2 linked regions of the Drosophila melanogaster genome follow. The protein of the gene in region 1 purifies or fractionates together with the protein of each later gene. This does not show direct contact. Each region holds a gene or a part of one and is shown in the gene's direction. Other genes may lie near its edges.

Region 1 (6,793 bases):
AGACGTGCCACCCATTGGGCAACCGGAATCCAAAATCGTAACACCAATCCACACCGACTGCGGCAACTAATGAATTCTTCAGCTGCGGTCAAAATATCAGGCGATTGTTTATGTCAACAAAAAGGAAATTATATTGTAACTAACTTTCAAAATTTTTAAAAAGATCTATACGAAACTACAAACCTTAATGCTCATTTTACTTTGAACATATTTATTGTAGCTTGTATATCTTGTTTAATTTCTTCATTCATGTTAAAAAGTTTACTTTTTATTTTTTTTTTTTTTATTGAAAATTGTAATATTCTTTTAAATACCCGCCCCAATGGCGATCGCAGCTGGAAATCCATATGCAGTAGAGCAGAATTGAGTAAGGAATATTTAGCAATTGACAATCTAGAGATTTTATAGCAAATGAGCCGAGCATGAAGGCCGATGAAGCGTTTGCTATCCCCCCTAAACCATTCACTATGAACCGAAACTTAAAGAAATAAAAAAAAAAACAAAACTCTGAAAACCCGATAATCAATAAGAAATTCAAAGTAAAACCAAAACGATTTGGTTAATTTTCGCAATTTGCTATATAGAAACAAAAAAAAAGCTTCAAAGTGAAATTGTAGTTGAAGGATTTAAGCGGGAAGGCGGAATAAGTTAAGTGTCACCGAGGAGAGTGCTATCTATCGATCTAGACGGACTAAATGCTAAATGGTGAAAGAAATTGATGATGATGAATTAGTAGAAAGTTAATACTGACGAGGGCTAAAATGCAGAAAATGGCTAGCCAAGTGTCACAGCTGTTCGGAGAACAACCGGGTCCAAGCCAAAACTATGGATATCCAGAATATCCACTAAAAAACACAAGGATACACCACACACACACATAGACACAGAGAAACAGGATAACACTAAATGGAAACACTTACTGCATGATGTGTACATAGGAACAACATAGATGCTATATATATATGCGAGTATATATAAAAACATATATATATATATAGACATACATATATAGTATATATTTTTTTCGAATTGTTTAAGTGCAACTTTTGAACAAAATATGGAAAAATGAAACGCAAGTCTTATGAAATCCTAGCAAGTAAGGCAAACCAAAATTGTAAAGGTCAAGATACAGAAATGGATGGAGGAACGATATACCTAAAAACAATGCCTAACTGTACGATAGTAAGCATACTATATACACATATATATATACATATATTGATAAAGTAATAAAGCGGCATAAATGTGTAAAAGTAATCTATTTATTTACACCGACAACCCTGTAAATACACAAATTCTGTGCAATTTTCTATCGACTCCCGCAAAACCCCGCGTTTTAATTCAATCCTCGCCCAAATCGAAACTTTGAACAGACAACGACTTTGGATTCTCCCTTCCACCTGGATATACACTATATATACATACATATATATATACATACATACATTTAATTATTAACTTACGCAAGTCTGAAAGTATTTCTATCGAAGAGTTCTAAACTGCTTAACTGTAAAGTGTACATACATATACCGAATTACAAACACTCACAGATCCTATAAACTATATTTATAGATGTAAGAAAAAGCACACTATTGATAACCATCCCCATCACTGTATGTATATGCCTATTTAATATATATATATATATATATATATATATCTACTTTTTTTGAATTAGTCACTAAGCATAGACAACATGAATTACTAAGTACGATATGCACTGCAAGCACTGAGGAATTTGATTCAATTTTACTTAAGACAAACGAAAAGAGAAATTGAAATAGCATTTAGCAAACCTAACGGAAAATCAAAAAAAAAAAAACAGAATTAAATAAGAGAATCTCCAATTTCTGGGATAATAATTACAAATTTAATATTAATTTTTCGAGCTACATCGGATGAGAAATACCGACGAAAAAAAAAAACTGTATTCGCTTGTGGCAATTGTGTGGGAAAGTCGAGAACGTTTAGCATCTGGATTGGCTATGCAGCATTCGTATGTTATATACTTAGAAACCCGAAAACCACAGATACACACACACACCCACGAATATTAAATAGATGTACAATAGTTATATAGACTCATTCGCATCGATCCTTTAAGCCATAGTCTATCCTGTTAAGCTCTCAAACAAAATTGTAATTTTCGGAACCGCAAAAAACGAACCCCAAACGCTCAGCTACGAGTTTCTGTTTAAAATCCAAGTGCAACTTTCAAAGAATTGTAAAAAAAAAAAAAATATCAATAACACTTTACGCTAGCGAATCCCAACAATATTTGGACAAACGATCGAAATCATCCACAAAATTGCTTATAATATGAATTTTCTGACTCTCTCCTAAGGGAAAATAAAAATTTTTTTTGGTATTTCAAACTCAACAACATTGCGTTTTTCTTTTATGGCATAGTTTTGGGCTTTCTCACCTACAAGTAAAGTCAAATTCAGATGAGTCACGGCTTGTAAGGTAACTAAATAAGTTATTAGAATATTGTAATCACAGCATTTAGACGGAAATCGAAATAAGTCATAAGGGTAAGTTCGAAAGATGCAAATTTATGCATCTGCATTCCATAACTTTGAAGTCATCGTAAGCCAAGCTTAAACGAGCTTTAAAACGTACACAAAGCTTGTCCAATTGGCTGCAACTTTTTTTTAACAATAAATAAATTTTTAAAAATTAAATCTTTTTATCTAAAATTGTCTGAATGTCAGCTGACTTCAATCAGTTGAATATATGTTCTTTATGCATTTTCATTTCATATTTTTCTTTATCATATTCTATTCACCGAGTGGAAGATTTCCCTGCAGGTTTGTTGTTTTTTTTTTTAGCCACATAAGTCAGTAAATCAGCCCACTGTACCCACTGTGCCGCTCCACAAAGAGCGTTCAGCGTTGAGCGGAGAGCGTTTAGAAAGCGCCAGCGACCGGCGATTGCAATTGCCACCGCTCACGGAGAGCGGCGAGCGGCGTTTGCGATTGCGATTGCCATTGGGATTGGGATTTGTTGTAGCGTGGATCGCGGAGTCGGAGTCAAAAGCTAAAAGCCAGATTCAGTTGGCGGCGCAGACTCGACTCGTTTAGTTCGCCGTTTCGTAGAAGAGCGACGAGAGCGCATGCGGCTTTTCCAGCGCGGTTTTTCCACCAAAACTTCGGCGACCTGTGTACTATTATTTATATTTTTATTACATTTTTTTTTATTGTTTTTTCTTTCTACCTGCGAACGCTTTGCTCGCCTTGAACTGGAGTGCTTCGTTTTTGAGTAGTGCATCTCTGCCTTTTGCTGGCGAGTGCTACAATTGTCGCACGTAATCGTGCTGGCAGTTACGCCTCAGAAAGCAGCCAAAAAAAAAAGAAAAAAAAACGCAGATACAAGATACAAAAGTATCTCGAACACATGCGTTACGCTCAGCTGACTCGTCGTGTGTGTGAGTGTATCGTAGTGTCGTTGTGTGTGTGTGCTAACAAATTGGTTAGATAAATTAAACAAAAACTGTGAAATTCGCGAATCAAAAAAAAAAAAAAAACAAAAGTAAAATAAAAGTTACACAAACGAAATACGCGAAGGAAAAGCGACGAGCTGAAACTGAAAGCAAACAATCAGCCGGGCTGACCAGTAGTAAATGCTTTAAACTTCAATTATAAAATTTAAATTGAAAAAAATAAAAAAAACACATATAGTTCACAATACCGCATCATAATATCCTACCCGCATCCTAACCCCCGCCGCTGGCCAAAATATGTCACAATTCCGCGATAATTCATGGGTGAGTTGCGATCGAGTTCAGTTCGGTTTGGCTTGAGATTTGGCACTAATTACCGACTAACTACTGCACACGTATCCACAGTGATACTCGCACTCTATCCTGCACTCAAAACTAATCCAAATTGCACAATTATCCAACACAATTTCTCTCCCTATCCTCATTTGTCCATTGCCCAACGCCCCCTCTCGACATCTTCTTAATTGGTCCAAATCGTTAATTAACCTGTGTGGCCATCTGTAAACCGATTGGCCAATTGGCACCATGCATCTCTCGGCCTGACCCGATTTTTTTAAATTTCGCAGCTCGCCAAGTGCCGATCCATCGATTGGTGGAATTGCACTGGCAATCAAAGTTGATAATTAGGGGAATTTTGACGATTTCTTCAATCATTTTGATGTTTAGTATTTGAGATACATTCACTAGTTCTTTGATGGCTTATTACCTTAAACTGCTTTTGAACTTTAAGAAAGTTACAAATATTCGTTTTAACTTACTATAACTTTATAAGTTTAATGAACAGAAAATATAGAACTTTCCACATTTATAGACAAGCAATTATAATATCATTTTCGATATAAAAAACATTATTATTAGGGGTGTTTTTTTTCGAGTGCATTTGCATTTGTGCCGACTGGCAATTGACTTGGAACTGAGAATTTTGACAGCTTCCGAAGCTTCGCATGCAGCGAATTACCTTGGCTTTATCAGCGGAATAACGGTGTCGAGGTCACTCGAAATAACCTAATCAAATTGGTTGGTTTTTTTAAATTTTAATTTTTTATTTTTTTTTAATAGGAGTGCGTCGTTCGCTTTGGCGAACGAAAGTCGAACAGTTTTTGAATAAATTAGTGCGATGCAAAACACGCAGGTTAAGCGGGTCAAACGGCAATGTTGATAGGCATGGGATGAAATTTATAGATCGACTTATTCGAAGTGCTGTGCAACCCGTTTATCTCGAACGATTTATCTGCGAAATATCTGGCCAAGATGGTAAAAAAAAAAAACAAAAAAAACTACTGCGGCAAGTGGTATTGCAAGATATGCAAAATTGTGGTTAAGTAAAGTAGTAAATTATCAATACTTTGTATTTAGAGATATGAATTCACTACTTAAGATACTTTTTTTTCGATTTAGTTTCTCTATATGTTTGCTGACTTTCGAATTAAGCCGCAATTGCTTTGCATTTTTTTTATCTCTACTTGTGTCAAAGAGAAAAACACACACACCTACATTTACCGAGAAATTTCCCAACTTAATTTCTACATGCTATCTAGATCAAACATCATTTCCACACCTCGAGCGCCCTTTTTCTACAGCAATTGCATGATTTGAAGGTCGACGGAGCTTTCTTTTGTTTCTTTTGGAGTTAAAAAAAAAAAAAAACCGGTGAAACAAACAGTTAGGATTGCACTCAGCGAAAAGAGTTATCTAAATCCATAACTTGTTGATAAGAAGATAGTGGTTGTATTGTAGTAAAAAATAATCATATAAAAACTTGGTACATTTAGGCATGGTGAACTTTTGCACCACAGCAATTTCGCGTAGAATCGCATTCTTTTTTTTTAGAAGCCTTTGTTTCGCTTCGCTGTATTTTTGTTGTTTATGAATGTGAATGCGTTATCGTCGTATCTGCGTAACTGTAATCGCATTATGATCCATTAAAATGCGCCAGCTTTTTTGGCAGTTTTTTTTTTTGTGATAAGGTCTGCGGACACCCACCACCTAAGGCGCTCCCTCGTCTGGCAGCAAAAAAATGAAAATAAAAAATATCATAAAACCAATCAAAATCCAGTAAAATAAGAGAAAAACCAGTTGGCCTGGCCCAAGTCGATTGCGCAAATGTCGTGACTGACGTCGCGCCAACGATTATCATCTTCTTCTGGCTAAGATTGAGATTCGGACTGGGATTGGGATTGGGATTTGGGACTTGGGATGCTGCACCTGCACATCCAAAGTCTGGCGGCTGAAGTCTGCTTCCTGGTGGCAGCTTCAAGTTCAATTACGGCAGATTGTCGTGAAGGCATTGGCCATGGATTCACAACCATATCGATATACACAACCACAACCATATTCACATCCACATCCACATCCACATGTCCATGTTGGTCATCAGCAACTTTCACTCACCGGCTAAATGACGATGACGATGTGTGCCTCCTGCACATTTTGTCATCGTTTTTCATGTGGGAAAATCTCTCGCCTCTGCAAAAGATCCAAAGAAAAAAAGACCTAAACGATGGGGAAGTCGTGTGGAGGCTCGCTTTTATTTTTCCTTCTTTTTTATTCATGGAAGCTGCGCTTTTGGGCAGACATTGCAAAATAATTTCCACAACAAGTTGGGAAGGCCGTCGACGACAATGAACTTTTAATTACCCCAAAGACTCGTTTCGCAAAAAAAATAAAAACACATGGAGAAAAGTAAAGGGGGAGCACAAACCTCATTCAAATGAGGTTTGCGGAAGAAAAAGAAAAGAAATTTTCAAAGGAGGAAAAGTTACTTAGCTCTCCGTGATCATATGCAATTTAATGCCTGCCCAATTTGCTGCGGAACAATCGGGTCTTTGTTTTTTTATGAGCAAAACCCTCCATTTCCCCAGCAGCAGATTAGATTTCAATTGAAGATTTGCAGATTGGCTTCCCTCGTTGATTTTCGTGGGATTGCCAGCCGAAAACTGGCTAGCCAAATTATGAATAAGTGTGCTGTAAATACGATTTCTGGCTAATACCAAAGCGGATTACAGTGCAATGATTCGATTTTTGCCGGCAATTGCAAATTTTTGTTGTACTTTCTGTGCCTTTTATGCCTTCGGGCCAATTTTTCCAACCAACATTTTACATATGCATAGGCCGGTAAATAGTAAAACCACAAAAAAAAACGCATTTAATATAAAATGTTGGAAAAAGTGGTCAAAAAAATTTGACAATTTTGAATGGCAATCAATTGGAAATTAAATCGAAATCGAAAAATCATCAAAACTACTTTTTCCAAAATTTCGCTATTTACTAAAGGAAGTTTTATCACAACTT
Region 2 (8,167 bases), on another chromosome or scaffold:
TGCAATCGAGTGCAAGTGCAACGTCGGCTGATGCTGCAACTCATGATGCAAAATGCAAACACAAAGGACGAAGTGGGGCAAAGTACACTGAGGAATTGAAATCCCATGAATTTGATTTAAGGTTACAGCTGTGTAGATATATGATTATAGGATTTTTATTGATATATGTATATGCATGTATTTATTTTACATATTAGATGCAGTCAGTTATTTTATAAATCAATGAATTTTGAGATATTTAATATTAAAACCATTGGTTAAGTTAATTTTAATTTAATTGTAATATAAATTTATCGTGTCATTCTTACAACTAGATTTTATTCCTATACTTTTAAGTGCAACATCCCATGCCGCGAATATCTCTAACGAGTTGACGCCACGCATGATTATGCCACGCCTTGTAAAGTGAAATTGCCATGCAAATAAACCCCTGGCCTGGTGGCTTAAGCCCGTCGGGGAAAGAAGGTTGGGGGGGGGGGGGCGGATGGTGTCGAAGTGGCAGCTGCAACAGGAGCAATAGATGGTAAAAACTGTGGCGACCTCTAACGATGCGATGCGCACAGGAAACAACAAACATGTAATTCAATTGATTGCCACCGGCGGCGACAACCGCAAACAAGCAAACATTGCAGCATCGAGCAGAAAAGTGCAGAGGCAATTCAATTGAACTTAGCGAAATGCATTTGAATTCAATTGATGTCGAGTTTGCCACAATCAACAGGTGGGTTAGGCACTTAGGGCTCATCGTTGTTATGATTACGACGGCTCTGTTTGCTTGGAGTTGGAATGGAGCCAAAGTGCTGAAAGGCCCCAAAGTTTGATGTTTTTTTTTAAGGATAAAAAATATAGTTTTAGGGATTAGAGGAGAGGCTCTCAAATGTCAAAGCATCAGAACATGTCGGCTGAACTTTAAACGAACAGTGGGCATGAGCAGTTTGCTTAAAAAACCAGGATATTATTAAAGTGAAAGTCATTACTACTTGCTACTTTTAAATTTTATTGTTTGTATTATTCTCCCATTTTAATTAAAGCGCTTTTAAACTACAATTATTTTTGACAAGAATTTTCTTTTACCTCGAAATTTGCCATTTTATCCCACCGTGCGCACTGCGGCCAACTAATTCCAGCAAAGTTTGCTGCTGCAAAATTAACAGTGTGCAAATGTGGCGAACTTCCGGTTCTCGAGCTACCTGGTAACGGCTCGTCAAGCCACGTCCTGGCAGGACATGAGGAAGCCAGGACATTGGGCTGACAGGCGGCAGTTGGACAATGGAATAGCACTAGGAAAACTCAACTCCCACCGCTGCCTTAATGCGGATAAGCTGTTAACTTGGCCGTGTCTGTTGTCTAATTGTCTATGTAGGACACTCTCTGTCCCAGAACGTGCGTGTGTGTGTGTGTGTGCCTCGGGGTGTGTGTGCATCCCAAAGGACACTTTAAACTGCCGACAGGCGTGCGAGATTAAAGACGTGCCAAGTCGTCCTACGTCTAGATTTACATTTTGGCCAACACATTGTTTGCTCGGCCTTTGGTTTGCGTGTGTGTGTGTGTGGGTGTGAGCCTTTTTTCGTGGTTGGGTAATATGGGCCCATTAGCCCAGTTGTAAGCAAGGACTACGCAATGTGAACCAACAACAGGCGGACGGAATCAGAGAGGCCCAGCCGAAATGTATGAAATTAATAATAAAACAACATGAAAAACTCACTTTTCGGCCAATTGCCCGCGGCTGCATTTCCATGTCACCCTATTTTGCATGCGAAAAGGAGGCCAGAGTTCAGGCCAAAGCAAATACACACACTTAATGCATAAAAAATGAGGCGTGACCATAATTTGAAATCGACTCCTTTTCTTTTCTACCAGCAGCTGCAGCCCAATTTCGAATTTCCACCGGCATGCGTGTGGATTTTAAATAAATTTACATTAATTTTTTAGGAAAACGACTTCGACATGCTCTAGAGGCACGGAATATTGAACAGCAAACAATGGATGCAAAAAGGGATAGCATCAATAGTAGTAGGTTAAAAGTCAAGGATTATTTGATGTAACGCCCGTCTAAAAGGGCTTAAACAAATGGTTTGTTTCATAAGAACACTTATTTTTTGGCTATAAGTCGGTTAAATCTATAGAAATAATAATGTGGTGGTTAATAAGAAAACTAACGCTTCAGTTTTGACCAATAATGCACCTCTAATTGTGTTGTTTCTGATTCATTATGAATTCATTAAAATATTGTATACATAAGCTTCTACTTCTTTAGTTATTTCTTTGTTCCATAGTTTAGCACAAATGTTGCTCAACAATGTTGCCGCTGCGCTGCAATTGCGCTGGCCTCATGTTGCCAGCCGCGTCTTCGTTCTGTTCTGCACTTAATCGCGGTTTCTGGTCACCGCACGATCAGTTTGAATTTGGATTTCAAGCGGAACAGTTGGCGCACTTTCCACCTAGTAATTGCAACCATCGCGATCGTATTCTGTGTTTTTATATCGTCTGTGCTCTAAATCAACACTAAAAAGTCAAACACTTCTTTCACTGCGTGTAGCTGCAATCGGCGAGGTAAGTGTCATATGAATAATTGGAGATCGTTTGGATGGCTTTTTTTTTCGAAACAAAAGCTGGACTTATTTCGAAAGAAAAAAGCGACGATCGCCAACTTTCTCGTCTAATTGCCAGTAAAGTTAAGCGGAACACGCAGTGGGAATCCAGCTTTGTAAAGTCGGTGGTAACTGGCATGCAAAATAATCTATTTAGGTCAGATGCCTAAAATTTACGTTGCGTTCTCGTTCCGATTTTCCCTTGGGTACCTACTGTATATATTCGAATTTCGTAGCTTAGGCACCCATATACGGGAAGTTTTTTGATGGAGGTGTATTTATTACAGGTTAATTTAGAGATCATTTGGTTAGCGGGGAGCACTTGCCTTATCGGTTTAAGAGTCATTCCATTCAGTGATAAGAGATACGGAATCACAGCGTGTAAATCACCGTCGGATGTAAGCATTTGTGTATATTTAATATTCAACTTAATTCAATTAAAATGTTTATTTCATGTCAATAAGGCATGACTTAATTACATTGAGTATTTGTCTTAGCCAAGCAATGAAGATTTCCTAAAGTAATGGAAATGTTATATCCATTAGATGTAGAGCAATTTTGAGTTCATTGGGGCAAACATTAAATAAAATAACCTCCTGACGAAATTAGTCAATTATAGCACTTTAAAATGCCTAAATGAATCGTAATATGAATTTATAAAAAACTTTCCAAGCAGCAAACATTTATAAACTGTTGACGGACAAGCATCAGAGGATAATGAATCACAAAAATGATTTTTAATAAGCATAATGATGCTGAAACAACATTTCATAGTTTAGCGTAATCAAAATAATCCACATCGGGAATAAAAAATTAAAATAGAACACAAACACACGTAGCATTCGTTTGTCAAATCGCATAAAATGAAGAAAGTGAAGAGCAAACAAATGGTGCCGATAAGAATGAATTCATAACAGAGTGTCCGAATACAGAAATAACAATTCATTATTATTGTGGAACAGCTGCTGTGGAAATGAAAAAAAAAAAAAAACAAATTGTATATGAAACACTACTCTGCGCGAAGAAGCCAGATTAAATAATTGACTTAGGCTGAGCTTGCATTAATTAATGAGACCCGAAGGGAATGCAACAGCAGACCAAACAGAGCTCCAGCCAAGAAGTTCAGGGGCGGTTTGAGTAAATGGAATTAATTTCAAACAATTCATAAGCAAAACAAACAAAAGATTTTATCGTTTTGTTGTCACTAAGCAATTGAGCCGTGAACTTCAATTGAAACATTTCAACTGAAACGAGACACGCTTTGCACTGCGATGAACTCAACTGGGCTGATTTAGATTGATTCACTAGGAAGCGGAACGGACTGGGTCTTCAGACTATCCGGAAGATAAACGTTGGCCAGAGAAAACAGAATACTTAAAGGAATTTGTTGAGTTATTCGAGAATCTATTAAAGAATGCACACAATACGCTTTCTTTAAATGGCATAAAACATTTATGTATGGTGGCGTACATAAATCATATTTAATCATTTTGCTGCGTATCTTTTTGTTACTTTCAATTACTTTTACAGTTACAATTACTGTATAGCTTTGGCAGCGCTTTTTATCAGGAATAAAATGATTACTTTTTTGTACTAACGAAGCTAGTGTGTAAGAGTAATCAAAGTAAATAGATGTGAATTATTATCTATATCGCTTTAATGATAAATATAATGAAATTTTTTTCCCAGTATCTTAATTGATATATTATCTTTCCTACTGCAATCCTTTAGAATGAAGTTCAGTGTGGTGGTCCTGGTGGCCCTACTACCGCTGCTAGGAGCTGTTTCAGCGAATCGCACTTTTGTGGTGGACTACGAAAAGGATCAGTTCCTAAAGGATGGAGAACCATTCCGATTCATTGCCGGCTCCTTCCACTACTTCCGTGCTCATCCAGCCACCTGGCAAAGGCATCTTAGGACCATGAGAGCTGCGGGTCTGAATGCGGTGACAACGTGAGTCACTACTATGATTTTAATGGTTCGATTGTCATGTTTCCATTAACTACAAGCTATGTGGAGTGGTCATTGCACAATCCGCGGGATGGCGTTTATGTGTGGAGCGGCATTGCCGATCTGGAACACTTTATACGCCTGGCCGTGGGCGAGGATCTGCTGGTCATCCTCCGTCCGGGTCCGTATATTTGTGCGGAGCGTGACATGGGCGGCTTTCCCTACTGGCTGCTGAATAAGTATCCGGGCATTCAGCTCCGGACAGCAGATGTCAGTAAGTATTGATACTCCTTTTGTTAACTTTTAAGATTACTTATGTTTTACTGCTTAATTCCAAAAATGTGGCAGATTATCTTAGCGAAATTCGCATTTGGTATACCCAACTGTTTGCCAAAATGAATAAATATCTGTATGGCAATGGTGGGCCAATTATAATGGTTCAGGTGGAGAACGAATATGGCTCCTTCTATGCCTGCGATCTCAACTATCGGAATTGGCTACGCGATGAGACCGAGAGTCATGTCAAAGGTCAGGCGGTGCTCTTCACCAACGATGGACCCAGTGTGCTGCGCTGTGGAAAAATCCAGGGCGTCCTAGCGACCATGGACTTTGGAGCAACGAACGATCTCAAGCCCATTTGGGCCAAGTTTAGAAGGTACCAGCCAAAGGGTCCGCTGGTCAATGCGGAATACTATCCCGGTTGGCTAACTCACTGGACGGAGCCGATGGCCAATGTTAGCACCCAATCGATTACTTCCACTTTTATGTAAGTTTCCAATTTGGTTTGGGCATTGATTATTATGTGTTATTTAAAGAATTAATATATATTTATATATAATATCGTATATATAACCTTGCCTTGGCTTCCAGAAACATGCTGGATCATGGTGCCAGTGTGAACTTCTACATGTTCTACGGCGGCACCAACTTCGGATTCACAGCTGGTGCCAATGACATTGGACCCGGAAACTACATGGCTGACATTACCAGCTACGACTACGATGCACCCATGACGGAGGCGGGGGATCCCACTCCCAAATACCAGGCCCTGCGACGCATCATTGGCCGCTATCTCCCGCTGCCAAATCAACCCGTGCCCGGACCCGTACCCAAGCGATCCTACGGAACTGTGCGTCTGACCACCTGCTGTAGTCTGCTTTCGTCGGAGGCTCGATCTCGTCTCTCCACTGGATTTGTGCAGTCCGCCAAGCCGAAGAGCTTCGAGGCTTTGGGACAGTACTCTGGTTTGGTGCTCTACGAGACCTGGTTGCCCAGCTTCCAGCGGGATCCGAGCATCCTTAGCGTTCCCGGACTGGCGGATCGAGGTTACGTTTATGTGGATGGTGAGTTCGTGGGTATTCTGGCCAGGGAAACCCCCGTGTTCGAATTGCCACTCAGTGCAAGTGCCGGGCGGAGGTTCCAGATTATCGTAGAGAACCAGGGTCGCATCAACTACGGTCGACAGTTGAACGATTTTAAGGGCATCCTGCGGGATGTTCGACTGGACAAGCAGGTGCTGAGCAACTGGAACATGACCCAATTCCCACTCGAATCGTACGACAACCTGGAGCAGCTGATTACCCAGTCGGATGAGGCAGTTCGTCAGGGCTTCCAGGAGCTAAAGAAGTTGCGCACAATGCTGCGCACTGGTCCCGCCATTTACCACGGTCAACTGGACATCCAAAAGGAATCTGATCTGGCGGACACCTATCTGGACATGTCCGGCTGGGGCAAGGGCATTGTCTTTGTGAATGGCGAAAATCTCGGCAGGTATTGGCCCCTGGTGGGACCTCAAGTCACCCTGTATGTTCCGGCCGCCGTGCTCAAGGCGGGCTCAAATCGACTGGTGGTGGTGGAGTATCAGCAGACACCCGCCTCACAGGAGCTGCACTTCCGAGATACCCCCATTCTGAACGCGAGGACCGTTTAGTCGTCGGCCTAAGGACCATTGCGACTTGCATCCATCGCTGTAGCCATAAATCATGCATCATCATCCGTATATGTAGATCTAAATGTAAATTTATGCGGTTTAAGTTCTTTGCAAGACATTAAAGCAACTCCGAGACGGACGCGTCCTGTCTGCCTCGTTATCCCTTTTGTAAAAGACTCATTAAAGCTGTTGTGGCATGCGGGGATGGATTTACAGGCCTGCCATGTGTGACCTTTGTGCCTGGGCCAAATTAATCCCTAATGATTGAAATTGAAATCCACAGAAACGCTCTGATGATGAGTCAAAGTAAGTCAAAGGCGAGTCGGAAAATGAGTCGCGTCTTGGTTCGTTGATTTTTTAGGTTCCCAAAAGTTTTCTATGACAATCCCACTCCATTCTTTTCCGCTGGCATTCGGTGTTTTTTAAGAACATGTTAGATTACCGCTGTTGTTTTTGAAATGTGTACATGTCGTGGAATTTTGCGATATTTTTGGATGAAGTTTTCCAATGAACTGACCCAAAATATATTTTGTTCATAGAAACTTAGGCGTGTCAAGTTGTTAGGATTTTTAAACTTTCTTATGCACAGATGTTCTAAATAGTGCTGGTTATTTTTTCGCATTCTGTATTATTTTCCCTATTAATATTTATGCTAAATTAACGAACTAATAGTTTCATTGCCCTTCAGGTCTCCCAAACTGTCCTCGAACTGTAATAAAATATTTACCCAAATTGTGTACCTGTGTACCTCTACGTTGACATTTCACGGAGTGCTCCCGGGCCGGAGAATCACTCCCTACTTGACCATCTCTTGTTGCCGTAATGAGTGAGGCAGCTACAGTTAATTAGTCCTGACTCGCACACATACACATTCACATGCAGTGGCTTACGTTTTAAAGGATCTTTCTTTTAGGCGCAGCTGCAGCTCAAGTATTTGTGTTTTTTTTTGCTGGCTACACATGCTGTAATTGCTCTGTTCTCGTTGTCCAAGTTGACATAAAACAAGTTAAGACCCAGGGGCAGTTTTAAAGCGCCGCCTCATGTCACCCGTGGCCACCCAGCCAGTCCAGTGGCTTTTTGGGAGAGTGCTTCCCTAATGGGATGGCGTTGCGTGCTGCCACCGGATGTGTGCCATCGCCATCCCAATCCCGGAATCTGATGCCCTGCATTGATGTTGCTTTTTATTAGCTCTGCCCGCTGGCTGTCAATTGATGATGGCCATCCTCCATAAACAATGTTTCAGCTTCCGCCGGACCCAAATATGTAAAAACAAAATGAACTTGACTGCGAAAGTCCTTAAGAACTTGGTCAACTTTTTTTTTATATCACGCAAACGTTAGAAGGATCTTGTCAGTTAATCAGACCAATTAACACATTATTGCGAGTGTTTTTTAGTTTCTAATATTCCATTAAAAACTCTATAGACTGCAGTCTTAATGTGCGAAATTTGTCAGCATTAAGTGAAAACGTCTTGTTTTCTCTCCTTTAAATTGGCTGAATGCCACCCAAGAAGTTTTATGGTCAGACTGAACAAATGTGCTGTCATAAAAACTTGTTGATTATATTAAGCAGACCCCAGAGATCAAATGGGATATAAAATCTGATAACAAATCTCAAACATTACTCTTAACATGCCGAAGCATAAAAGTTTGAATGTGTTGTGTTTTTTTTAGCTAATTTTTGACAAATGCATTAT

Evidence for each region. Proteins that work in one complex are often made in the same cells at the same time.
Region 2: the proteins of Nost (region 1) and Ect3 purify together in Drosophila melanogaster (affinity purification with mass spectrometry, with the first as the bait; one large-scale study listed by BioGRID). This does not show direct contact.

What each region holds. Positions count from the first base shown.
Region 1 is NC_004354.4:9,027,131-9,033,923, forward strand, and holds the start of Nost (nostrin), read left to right. Parts: upstream 1-3,074; 5' UTR 3,075-3,739; coding exon 3,740-3,766; intron 3,767-6,793.
Region 2 is NT_033777.3:11,996,887-12,005,053, forward strand, and holds Ect3 (Ectoderm-expressed 3), read left to right. Parts: upstream 1-2,391; 5' UTR 2,392-2,553; intron 2,554-4,322; 5' UTR 4,323-4,323; coding exon 4,324-4,544; intron 4,545-4,600; coding exon 4,601-4,815; intron 4,816-4,889; coding exon 4,890-5,307; intron 5,308-5,411; coding exon 5,412-6,471; 3' UTR 6,472-6,630; downstream 6,631-8,167.